Linked DNA regions of Oryzias latipes. The protein of the gene in region 2 binds, or shares a complex with, the protein of the main gene of each other region. Links are inferred from orthologs where the notes say so. Each region holds a gene or a part of one and is shown on either strand. Other genes may lie near its edges.

The links. Proteins that work in one complex are often made in the same cells at the same time.
Region 1: gtf2f1 (region 2) and polr2k share a complex: the UniProt entries of both Homo sapiens proteins name them as parts of the TBP-based Pol II pre-initiation complex. The link is inferred for Oryzias latipes from reciprocal best matches to the Homo sapiens genes GTF2F1 and POLR2K.

The regions. Positions count from the first base shown.
Region 1 is NC_019869.2:7,012,782-7,019,455, forward strand, and holds the start of polr2k (DNA-directed RNA polymerases I, II, and III subunit RPABC4), read left to right. Parts: upstream 1-2,381; 5' UTR 2,382-2,495; intron 2,496-3,560; 5' UTR 3,561-3,638; intron 3,639-3,721; exon of another isoform or gene 3,722-4,201; intron 4,202-4,505; exon of another isoform or gene 4,506-4,611; intron 4,612-6,674. UniProt on the Homo sapiens protein: DNA-dependent RNA polymerase catalyzes the transcription of DNA into RNA using the four ribonucleoside triphosphates as substrates.
Region 2 is NC_019866.2:14,104,923-14,111,310, reverse strand, and holds the start of gtf2f1 (general transcription factor IIF subunit 1), read right to left. Parts: upstream 3,631-6,388; 5' UTR 3,364-3,630; intron 3,138-3,363; 5' UTR 3,093-3,137; coding exon 3,081-3,092; intron 2,780-3,080; coding exon 2,733-2,779; intron 2,554-2,732; coding exon 2,481-2,553; intron 2,141-2,480; coding exon 1,947-2,140; intron 1,631-1,946; coding exon 1,460-1,630; intron 1,389-1,459; coding exon 1,183-1,388; intron 1,071-1,182; coding exon 920-1,070; intron 757-919; coding exon 701-756; intron 602-700; coding exon 470-601; intron 389-469; coding exon 315-388; intron 1-314. UniProt on the Homo sapiens protein: TFIIF is a general transcription initiation factor that binds to RNA polymerase II and helps to recruit it to the initiation complex in collaboration with TFIIB. It promotes transcription elongation.

The DNA.
Region 1 (6,674 bases), on a different chromosome or scaffold from region 2:
GTCAAGTCGAACCACCAGCTGCCCCCACTCCTACAAGACAAACATTGAGAGACCTTTAGGACTGAACTGTGTCAGCAATAGTGCAAACATAGTGAATCTGAGTTTGTTCCGAAAACAAGGCAGATGTCTTGGACACGCCGTCTCTGCTGCAGCAGTCGTGATCCACGTAGATGAGCTGGGGGGGAGGACCTTGGCGAGTCGATACAGGACTAAACGACTGTCTTTTGTTCAGGTGGGACAACACTGCGCCTAGAAGATCCTGAAGTCAAAGAAGCGGCTCCTGCTATCATCATCAGAAGACGAAGAAAGCCGAAGCAGCAGCTTCTGTATTTTAGAGAGGGCCTCCATCATGGACACATTTTCCATCAGAAGGTGTGGCCACACATGCAATGCTGGTGTCTCCTATAATGTGCAGCTGTCAGTAGGAAACGTGTGGAGGAAGAATAGGAAATAAAAGGCAGAAAAAAGACTGAAAGGCCATAAAAGTTTATTTGATTGAAAAATAGATACAATTTAACAGACATTTTGTGTTCTGCAGTTTTTCTTGAAGCTGTAACGATTTGTGCAAAATCAACATTTTATGTAGGTTTGACACTAAATGTAGCTTATTGACACATTTTAAAGTCCAGGATGTGAGGAAGAAGAACTGTTCAAGATTCTAACTTTGAGAATAAATAAAAATAGAAACAGATTTTTAACAGACGCTGTACTTTGAAAGCTAATCCACAACATGATGGTTCTGAAGCAAAGAAAGAGTTCATCAATCATGTTCAAAGGTTGAACACAAAGCAGAAGCAGTGATGAAAAACTCTGGGAAAAGTGTGAAAAGATCTTCAGGACGAGTTGAAGCGCCACACTTTTTGTTCTAATGCTTAAGCTTCAAAAAACCTTGATCCAATTTAGTTTTAGCTGACGTTTATGTGTGATGAGAGAGTTCTGCCCTCTTTGGTGAACACATCTGTCCAGAACACGGAGAGTTCTGCAGCTGCAGCTTTGTTTTGTCGATGATTAAGTCTGAAAAAAAGCACAAAACAATTTGTTTACTCAGTACTTTCACATCTCTTTGTGCCAAATGATTCAATGCATCATCTCTCACCACCAAATCAGCCCAATTTCAAAGTATTTAGAGATGCAAATACTTTGCTAAATCTTTTAGATTTCTCCTGCATTTCTATGATTTGAACCTTTTCAGTCTGAGTGTACAAAGTGAGACATGAACTCATGAGCTTCTGCACGGGTCCAGAATCCACCACTCCACCTCTCCCATCCCTTCCCAAGACTGACGACCTGCCTCACCTTGGACCTTCTTCTCCCATGAAAGCTGGTGGGAGTCTTCCTCTTTCTTCATCCAAAGTCAGTCAGTGGGTCGTTCTGTGTTTTTCCAGGTTTCTGCTGGTGAACAATGACAGAGGTTAGATCTGCCGCAGAAACACCAGCAGGTTCATCATCACAGCATCATCGGAGAAATCTCCTCTCAGCTTCTTCACTCCTGGTACTTTGCTGGATCTCATTTCCATTTAAATCTCTGCACACATTTTAGTTTTCTGTGGAAACAATATTCCTATTATTAAAAATGTTCTGATTCAAAAGAAGTTTATTCTTGATATTTTCTTTTCAATTCTACTTTTATTGCAAATAAACGTTCCCTGTAAAAACAAAATCATCTCCGCCTGCAAACTTTGTATTAAATATGTTCTTTCCTTTTCCTTTTTCACTAAAACACACGTAACAACGTGAGTTCACTTCTTCACAAATACATTAATCTCTTTTAGACACTTGAAATAATGCAAACTATTTATTTGTCTTAAAATAATGGAAAACCGGCAGTTATTTGAAGGAATTGGAACGAATCCGGCTCTCTGATTGGACACAGCAAAGTTTGATACTAGAAATTGGAACAATTCTGGCCATTTGATTGATTGAGAAGTTGGAACACTCTGATCAGGCCCGTCGGAGGAAGACTTCCTCTCGCCGTGCAGAAGCTCCCGAGTTCGCGGCCCGCTGTGCGCGGTTGCAGCATAAAGATCCTCTGCTGCTGATTCTTCTAAAGAAACAAACAACTGGAAGGGATTCACTTCTTCTCTCAACAGAAAGAACCTGTAAATGGATGAAAACCATGAACGCGTGAGGTCATCGATTGATCGATTCACAGACATTCATTAAAGGTGGAAATCAATGTTTTTACTGTGTTTGTCTTTAAAAACCTCATTTCTTAGTTTATTGTTTTATTTATTTAAGTAATGATTTTATAGTGTGTGTGTGTGTGTGGGGGGGGTCCATTTATAGATAAACAAAATCCTACTTGTGCTTTCTTTATTGTTTTTTAAATTCCTAAACTTTTTCAAGAGAGATTTTCTTTTTCGGACGTTCCCTGAATGTCTCGGACTAGTCACCTACTGGACTCCAGCGTGAAAGGTTCGGATCAGAACCGCTCTGGGTTCGGCTTTTGTGCTTCCGTGTCCTACTTCTCCCGAACAACCTGAGTCCAAACGACGGTGAGGAGCAGAATTCTGCTTTCTGAGCTTCACACATGCGACAATCATGAGAAGACGAGCAGCTCATGCGTGGCGGTTAAGATCAAAGAAATTGTTCAAAGCTTTTAGGGAAACGAAAGACGACGGCCGCCGTGTTTGCTCAATTAGTTCACTTTCTGGAGTGATTTAAGTCGATATTACGAGATTATAACTACTGCTTTCGTGAGATAACGGAATAGATGTGTTGCTCGTCTTGTCGAAAACACAGTTTAATGATGTGTTATTAGTAGAAAACAAAAACAAATTTAATTGTTGCTAACGTTCAAAGCTCTAATCTAAATAAATGGCGGATTTGAAAGTAGTTTCTGGCCCGCTAATTTCACCAAATTTCCATTCCGTTCCAGTAAATAACGTTAAACTTCTTATTTATTGCTGACTGTGGGTGTTTGTCGTCAATTTCTCTGCATTTGGACGGCCAGAAAGCGCGTAGAAAAGGTCCAGTTATTTGATCATTTGATCACTGTTTTTTTAGGACTACGGCAGTTGTCCTAAAGCGAGGTGATAAGGACACGTCTACAACTTGGGTGACTCCAACACGCTGGTTCACTCTAAGAAAAGCAGTAATAAAGTAATAGTATGGATTTATGTGGAGTTTGTTTGAACAATAGTGAGTACTTGTAATGTTTTAGAGGTTATTTATGTTGACTTACTGAGAAACTGCTATTGTTTGTCTGGGGTGTTTTGGTGTACTTTATTGACGGTCCCCGTCTGCCTCTGTAGCTTCACATCGAAGTAAACTCAGGCTGTGACTCGTTTTCTGCTTCACCACAGACACAAATAAAAAGTTTACACTAGTCAATAGAACTATATCCAACGTCATGTTTGTGGATAAAGTTAGTATGAAAAAAACAAAGCAGACCGGTGACCGGATGTGTCTGTGACACGAACACATTCTCAACTTCTAATTGCAGCTCATCTTATATGTTTGATGAGCAAATGAAGTTATTTGCCTTTATAGTTCTTGAAATACTGGAACAAAATTCCACAGAATAAATATAATGAAGATCCACCGTTTCTTTATTTTAGTTGAATGCAACGCTTCCATGTAATGAATCTCCAGGTGGAGCGGTGAAACAGCGGCACCATGTGGCAGATCTACAGCAGGTATTTTCTGCATTAAACATGACTGTATCTTTGTGTTTAGAAACAGGATTTTTGAAGTAGAATTTTACCTCACAGATGCTCACAATGTATTTAAAGAATTTCAGAGGCAGCATATTGGAGAAAAAGCAGGAAATGGTCAGAATTTAGTTCAACCAGGAGCCGACAGGCTCTCAACAGGGAAGCAAGCCACTCAGGATCGTCTCCGCACCAATGAAAGTGTATAATCCTGGTCTTTGATGGGTTCTTCTTATTGAATTTAGGTCCATGTGAGTTCTGTTCGTCCTGTTGCTGGAAGCAGAAGCACAGACTCTCGTCTCTGAGCTGATCTTTCTGCAGCGAGTCGTCGCTTTGGCTTCCTGCTTGAAGGCAGCAGCAGAATGACGTCAGTCTGACGCGATCAGACCAGTTTTCTCTTTCTCCACACAGATCCTTGTCTGAAAGAGTCTCCACCCCTGTGTGTGTAACCATCAGCACATGGGGGTTGGTTGGAGCTGCGGTGGGGGTTGGTAAAGGTCCTCCTGGAGGGGTGTTGACTCGACCTTTTGTTCTGGCGCTTCCGGGAAACCAGTCGCACTCGTCTGACGTGACAAAACCCCCCTTCTTTTCCCAGAATCCTTCCAAGAAGTCTCTCACAAAGTCAGAAAAAATGTAATTTTAATCTGATTTAAGCATTTAAGTCAAACTTTGAATGGAGATGGTGAACCTGAGACGATCCTGTGTCATGGGAGAAACAGAGGATCTTTTTTGGTGTTTTGTCTTAATTGTGGTTCCCTTTAAAGTCCACTGTGTTCCCTCAGATCACACCTCATGCTTGAGAAGAGTAGCAGAGGGGAGGGTTTAAAAAGCACTCCGAGACATTGGCTCATTGCACTAGTTCTCTAGTGCATATACTAAAATTGGAACGATACAGAGAAGATTAGCATGGCCCCTGCGCAAGGATGACACGCAAATTCGTGAAGCGTTCCTCATTTTCTCTTTTAAAAAACAATTTCACCTAACTTTGTGTCATTGTTTTAATAAAAATAGCCCTTAATATGAACCATCCAGCTAATATATGACAATTTTTAATAGAGTTCATAGCAAAAGTTTCAGGAAAACTCACAGCAGACAAAATTATAGATGTAAATTAAAGCCGTACGTGGCATTGTAGGCGCTACCCGCTTCTACACACCACCTCCGCTATCGCTGCCCACCTCTATGCAGCTCAGCCGCCCTCACCACCCAAAAAATGCATATACTAACCATCCTAACTATGGTAGTTATGCTAAAATGGCTAAAAGTGCTAGCTTAGCGATCAGCATCATCAGCGTACTCAGAAAAAACACATTGCTTAAGACTCTAAATATGCTAACACTGCTAGATATGCTATTTTGGCTAGAATTGCTAGCATTGCGATCAGCATCATCAACTCACTCAGAAAAACACATTGCTTAAGATGCTAATTATGCTAACAATGAAAGTTATGCTAGTATGGCTAAAAGTGTTAGCTTAGCGATCAGCATCATCAACTTACTCAGAAAAACACATTGCTCCATTAGTAAGAGCTACATATCATACGTTGATAAAAAATCCACTTTTATTTTAAATGGCGGCTTTTCTGTTGATTTTATCTCCATAGCAACCATTTTATGTTTTGGTTGCCAGCGGATAACGAGCAGATCAATGTCAGTTTCAGACGAATCAGAAAAAGTAAACTTAAGGATGTCCATAGCAACAGATGTTTTTTGCTAACCGCGCCCACATTCCTTATATGGCCATATCCAGTGTTCTTCATTATGTTCACTTCCAGCCAAGGATGCATGCATTCAAATTTCACAGCATTCCATTGAAAAACATAAGAGTTATAACAGTGCGCCACATTGGCTAGCTTGCCACGCGGACACCGGTCAAAATCTACAACTTGTAATTTCAACATTTTTTCCACAGTAGCTTGACAATGATACCCAAGAAGTTACGAGACGATCGCTAAAAATTTGTCAAATTTGGTACTGGAGGAAATTTTGGTCCTAAAGTGCTTTTTTTTTGAAAATTCAAGATGGCGGTCTCTTCCCAAGGTCAAAGGGCGACATCATTAATAGCGGCGTTTCCGCTGACTATGAAATTGCGCTAATAGAATTTGCAACAGTAAATTCACCTAATAGAAAAACGACAATTTTGAAAAAACATCTCTGTAAAATAATCACAAAGGTGTCTGAAATGATTTCATTGAGAAAAAGTGTCATTGTGTATTAATCCTTGTGCTATCCTAGGTACTTTAACACTGGGAGTTGGGTCATATAGACCCACTAGACAGTGCTCTGAACTTTTTTTCTTCAATGATTTGTGAACCTCACTGGTGTCCATGAAATCTTTCCACCTTTATCCACCTTTGTCATGGTAGGGAGAACACGTCAATGTAAGGGTGGGGTCATCTAAGATAGCACAAGGGTTACAGTGGCATGACTTTCTCATTCTTTGAGCTATCTGGATGATCTTTATGTCTTCGGAAAGCTCTCTTTAAGCCCTTTCAATGACATAAGGATCAGATAGATCCAGTTAAATTTGAAATTTTAGGTACGTCTCTACATAAACAACCTTGATTGATCTAACTGTGATTACCAAGTTTTCTATCCGCAAAACAAAGGCGATCAGCAAGACGTAAAAACATTGAGAACTTGCATCATTGTAGGTCTATTAAGCTATTTTGTTTATTTCTGTGTTCAGAAATGGAAGCTCTATCATTTGTGGTCACCAACTTTTATCTATTTACCTTGGAAAATGGTGGCTTGTGGTCCCTACCTGAAGAATATTACTTAGGAGAAAATATATCAAAACGTGTGTTTCCGCGCTTATGTCTGCACTGGAAACGTCCAACCATGCAGAAAAAAAGGACGGCCAACACACAATCAGCAATAACTTATACTATTTTCTAAGTAAAACATTTGCTATTACCTCGTGATGTCGACGTAGTTACTCGTTAACACGAGGAAAAGATATTAGCAAACATGGCGGCCGTCGTCTTGGTTTATACTGAAAATATTTTCACAATTTCTTTGA
Region 2 (6,388 bases):
TTCCCCCTCAGTTTGCTTTATTTTTGTTCAATAAATGTTTCTTTTATAGGTCAAAACTGCACATAAAATAGATTTTTTCTTATTGCCATTTTATCAAAAGGATTTGATCTTTTACCAAAGTGACCAATGGTTCTTTGCAGCTGAGCAAATCCAAATGTGGACTCAAAAATAAAAAGTCACAAGTTTCATGTCAAAATACATGGAAATTGAGACTTCAAGAACAAAAAAACGTAAAATCTGCTTCTGGAAAAATTGATGCCTTTTGAAAAGAAACATGATACTTAAAGAGGAATAACACTAAAAACAAAACTAACCGCCATGAACAGAGCAGAGGCCGTCTCTCCCTCAATGTCGCTGTCGTCCGAAGTCTCTGACTCCCCGCTGCTGTCTGCGACAAATGAGCCTACATGACTTTTTCCCCTCAGATACCTCTAATCATTTAAAAAAAAAAAACTTGTATAACTGATACCTTTTTTCTTTTTCTTTTCCACCTGAACCGGAGTCTTCTTTCCTTCCTCCTCCTCTTCTTCCTCCTTTGCTTCTTCTTCATTCTGGTTCTCCTCCTCGCTCTCCTCCTCGCTCTCAGATGCCTCATCTATGCCTATTTGAGCAGAAACCAACAGGGTAGCCGTTCATTTCTCTATAAAATGTCCTTTTTAAAAAAAAAACAGCTAAATGTTCCTAGTGTAAAAACAAAAACCTTTAGGGTGCTCCTCCTGTTTGTTTGGCTTCTCCTTTGTTAGCTCCTCCTCTGAACTAAAAAGGAAACAAATGATCTAAAAGTGTCACGCATTTAGCTTTAGTTTGAATTCAAAGAACGTAGAAAATCAAAAATGCAGACTTGTTCTTCTAAAAAGACCAAATAAAAACATGTTCTTTCTTTAATATGTATATGTGGTAAATACGCTGAGGAGCCCACCTGCTTTCATCTGACATATAATCCACCTCTAGACCCTCATAGTCTCCATCATCGCTGTCTTCCAGGGCATCCTTCTCATTGCTCTTTTGTTTCTTTTTCTTTGCTTTCCCTTTGGCTTTGTCTTTCTTTGCCTTTGCTTTGTTTTCTCCATCTGCAAACGAAGAAGAGACGGAAGCTGCAGGTGAGGAAAATGAGCTGACAGACGTTTGGAGGAAGGGGCTGAGCGCCCTGACAGTTCTGGAGCCTGCTGCATGGATCCTTACCATCTCCCATGCTGTTGTCGCTGTCGTCGCTGCTCATCTCCAGGTCTTCATCCAGATCATGAATTCGCAAATCTCCACCCTTCCCGCCCCCTTTCTTTTTCTTCTTTCCGGGTTTGTCGGCGTCATCGTCATCCTCCTCGCCCCGCTCCTGTTCCCGGAGGCGTCTCTGAAGCATGATGCTGAAGTGATTCACCACCTTGTTCCGCCTGGACAAAGAAGGAAATGACTTTTAAAACACAAAAGGCATTCTCCAAGTCCAGCTTGCTGCTCTGCTAACCTGCCCCACTCCTCCTCAGCTTCCTCTGCAGTCAGAGTTCGGTGCTTCGCCACCGGCGTGAAGTTGTACCAGCCGTGAACGGGGAAAGCCTCGAAGGCTCCATCAGGACACTGCGTAAAGATGTAGTAGGATGCATTTTCTGTCACGCCGCCCTTCTTTATACCTTTGAACCTGATGCAGAAAGACAAATATTATAGCCAGACTGAAGATTGTAGAACTGGAATCATAGGAGAATCTTGCTGCAATAAACATTTTAGGAAAAATAAAAAACACACCAACAGATTTTGTTAAAAATTGGTGAGGATTACACCAAATCTTACTCAGTACGAAGACGTATTTGCTCATTTTCTACAACGGTTAAATAAATATGGTTTATTGATTTTCTTTATTTGAAGAAAAAAAAGTCATAACTTCAAGAAAGCCTGCAGGTAAATTAAAAAAAAAAAATGTACTTAAGTTTCAAAAATAGAAACATTTATCGCTTTACCTTTTTCCTGCTTTTCCGTTGACCTTTAAAATCCACGGCTGATCCTCCACCTTGAACTCTCTGGTCACAATGCCATACTTCTTCCGCCGCGCTTCCTCGCGCTGCTTTTTGCCAAACTCGCTCCCTGCCCCTCCCTCTGGTAACTCCTCCTCGCCATATATTCGCCGAGCACTCAGGTCGCGTTCCATGCGAGCCTGGGGGAGTGACAAAGCAGGATATTTAACTTAATACCTTTTTTTTTTTTAGAACTTTTATCAAACAAGGGAAGTCCCATCGAGATTAGAAATCTCGTTTCCAAGGGAGACCTGGCCAAGAGGCACCACATTTCAATACAAAAAATACATTTAAAAAAACATCATTAGTACCACATATGTCATAAAACGCAGTTGCTTTATTAATCCGTACTCCCTTGTATTTTGTCACAAATTTCTGAATTCCTAAGGATGTTTTAAGAGATCTTATTGTTTTTAATTATAACCAAATTTAAAATATAGATTTACTTTACTGGAGCAAAAAAGAAGACATGAAGCCCACCTGTGTCCAGGCCGAACAGTTGACTTTGTCTCCAGAATTAAAAGCCATGATGTTGTACTTCTTGCTTGTATTTCTATGGGGCAAGAAAATAAATAAAAAAATAAAAAGAGTTGTTTTTGCAAGGCGGAGTCAAGTAACACGTTGACAAATTTAGGGCAGAATGATGCAAAACATTACTATTTCAAAGGATAACGGTGTCATTTCTGTGTTATGGTCAACATTACTAACACATTACTGCTTTCATTTACTCACTTGGGGACTCTCACTGTGTATTCTGTAGTCGAAGCACTGCTGCCCCCCTGGAAGATGGTAAACAAACAAACAAACAAACAAATAATGTGGAATTTCTATTAAAAAAAGGTTTTGCTATAAGATCAGCGACCTTCTGATTGAATGAGTTTTTGCCTGCATGCAACTCAGGCTTTACAATTAGTCTCCACTGATAAATTCGTGTAACATTGTCTTCTGTAGCGCAGATTAATAAAGTTTTCTTTCCTGCTGTAACCGGAAGCTGCCGGGCTAAAATAGCTTAAATGAAACGAAAACATTTTACATGTTAATAATAATAAAAATAATCATTAAAAAAAAGTCAGAACTTACCAGAGATGTCATGATTGTTTATCAACAACTTCTGGATTTGCCAACACTTCACTGGAGCTATTAAGGGTTTACAGAAAAAGAAAGGACATTTTAGCAGGTATTTCACTAATGTTTAGTGCAACATGATCATGTCGGCCATTTTCATAATGTGTAAAAATATGATTACGTTTATTACAAAACTAGTTTTATAGACGGGTTAGAAAAAAACAAATGTTCGAAAGCAAACAATCACCGAAAACTGGTTTTATTGTGAAAGAAAATAACAATGAATGCTGAGTCTCACCAACCCGGTCGTAGAGATTTCAATGGTTAGCTCTGATTAGATCATTAGATCTCCAGCACGATAAACGAGCTCATATGGTCGTTTTAGTCCAACTTCAGACCGAGTGAAGATGCATAAAAGGAAAATGAAATACAAAAATAGTGTTGTTGTTTTTTTTAAAAGAAAAAGCCCCGCATCTCCGAGAGTAAAACACTACTACTGGTGTACCGGTGAGGTGCGCGTTGTTGCAGCGTAATCGTTCCGTCACTTTTTACGGTCGACAGGAAACCTTGGCACGTCACAAATAGTTCCTATTGAAAATGCAGACAGTAACTGGAATGAAAGAAAAAAAAATCAAACTAATAAGTAAAAACAGACTTACCAACAAAGAAAAACATATAAATTAAATTTGTTTCCCTGAAATGTAGTTTAAAATTTATAAAAACTTTATTAAAAAAGTAAAACATTATTTAAAAAAGTAATTAAATTAATTGTTTCCTTTAAAAAATAATGATTAGGCTGTGAACACAGTGTTAAGAGCCGATTATGCTTGAGTGCACCTGAATGTAAGGAAAGGAAAGTGTAAATGCCATTCACAATTTTTACAATTTGACAATTAATCTGTGATCATGGCCGGCCCTCCCTATACGCGAATTACGCAGCCGCGTAGGGCCCCCACATCACCAGGGCCCCGAAGTGGCGAAAAAATAAAATAAAAAAAAGACCCAAATCTGGCAACCTATTTCATAGCTGTGAATGTTGTGCAAAAGAAAGTTGGCTGCACTTTAATGATCCCCCTTGTCAACAAACCTGAACCAATCTGGCAACCCAAATAATGACGTTACGCCACTCTCAGCAACGATTGGCCAACATCACTGCATCTGAGCCTGGCACAGTGTGCATTTACGAGCGCATTTTGTTTCAATAAAGTTGAGAAAAGAAAAAAAAATAGCTCATTTTGTCACGCTGATCAAAGCGACAACAAGAGCACTTCATGCCAAAGAGACTTTATCCATCAGGAGCTGAAAAAAGATGAACAACTTCAGCATCAATCACAAGGTAAGTTTGGAGGATGATGGGGCCATATTTTTTACATTATCCAGTATTTCTGTGCATTCGCGATTTAAAATACTAATTGATCCGAAGTTCGGTAAAGTTAGAAAGACAGGTGAAGTTTGCACATAAACGACCCCGTTTGTTGTAATTTCCAATGGAAAACTCTAAAATAATTCTGATACCCAAGTTTCCTGGATGAGGTCAGACAGGACCTTCCAAAACGGCGAAGAGAAGATTAAATAACGACAACGGTGATGGCTGATAAATGTTTAACTCACGTTATTGTATTGTTTAATTGTTTTGCTAACACATATTTAGTGCGTTCTGCATTTTCCGGTTTACGTCAGTATAGAAACTGCTGTTTATCTGTTATAGACAGTCTGGTAGTCTGACTTTTTCAACAATGTGTCTTAAAATCTTGCATTGGCATGGAATATGGAGAATCAAAACTGCCAAATACAAGTAGGAAATAAAGGTTCTAATTTATTAATGACAAATAAAATAAATGTACTCATTTTAAAATTATGAACATACAAAATAATAGAATAAGAAGTGTATAAATGCTTATATTTCCATTTATACTCAAATTATTATTCACATTTATTATTTATAAATAGGTACATTTCTTTCTCATTTGTATTTCGCAGTTTTGGTTCTACATAATGAGGATGTTTTGCACAGTTCCGTGTCAGCCAACATTTTCTTCTGCTCTCAAAAAGTATCAAAAAGTATTGGAGGAGGTGCAGCATCCACATCCCCTCATGTGGCATGTAAAGTAATTTAAAAAACAGTGTCTGCATAACCCCTTTTTTTCCATAAACAGCGGCTGAAGAGTATGGAGCCCTAAACTGTTCTTAATAAATAAATAAATATGATCTTGTGCAAATATATAATCAAACAATCTATTTTTCATAAATATATAAAAAGATCATGACATTGTGAAAAACCTGCACACAGATTTTAACCGAACCACTAAACTATTAGTAGTATTCTGCTATAGTTATTTTATTAACTTCATCATTAATTATTGTATAATGATTCTTGTTTTTTAGCTGCAGAGGAAACTCCTGTCACCACATCTTCTGTTGAAAGGGAAAACGTTGATGCTGCTGCTGGTCAGTTCAAATCTACCCAATATGGAACCCAAATCAAACTTATTGTTTCATTATTACTTAAAAGACAGTTATACATTTGTGCACACACGCACAACAGTGAAGGCACTTCTTTCCAACATTCTGCACTAGATATATCTCATTTATATTACAACAACAGTTGCGTTTTGTTGGTGCTGCTGATCAGTTAGAGGGCCCACAAATTAAATCTCGCTTAGGGCCCCCGGAAGACCAGGGCCGGCCCTGTCTGTGATAAAAGGATTTGCCTGTCCCATCATGAACTAATAAGTTAGAAAAGGTACAAATTGAATATGTTGTGCAATGTCTTAAAAATAAATATATATATATATATATATATATATATATATATATATATATATATATATATATATATATATATATATATATATATATGTGTGTGTATATATATATATATATATATATATATATATATATATATATATATATATATATATATATGAAGACATCACCAAATTTAATTACCATTAAAACTTAAATGTTTCAAACAACAGCTGTTTGAGTAAATGGAACCTGGGCTTTTTGTAGTGAGTCTGTATTTGAAGTTGGATAAATACTTACTTATTTTTGTCTTTTCGCACATCTAACTTGATTTGACTTGAAGTGAAAAGACATGGTGTCATTTTATCAACCGCCTGTAGATGGTACTAATGGATCAATAATCAAATCACAGAATTCTGGCTTTTTTTCCTCCGTAAAGTCCTCCTTCCACTCCCATCAGTATGCAAATTGTATCAAGAAATTATGCAGTGCAAATTTACTTTGCACCTTTTTCGTAATCCCACAATAAAAATATTATAACAGGAGAAAAAAAGTGATTGAACTGTCAGGTTTATGTA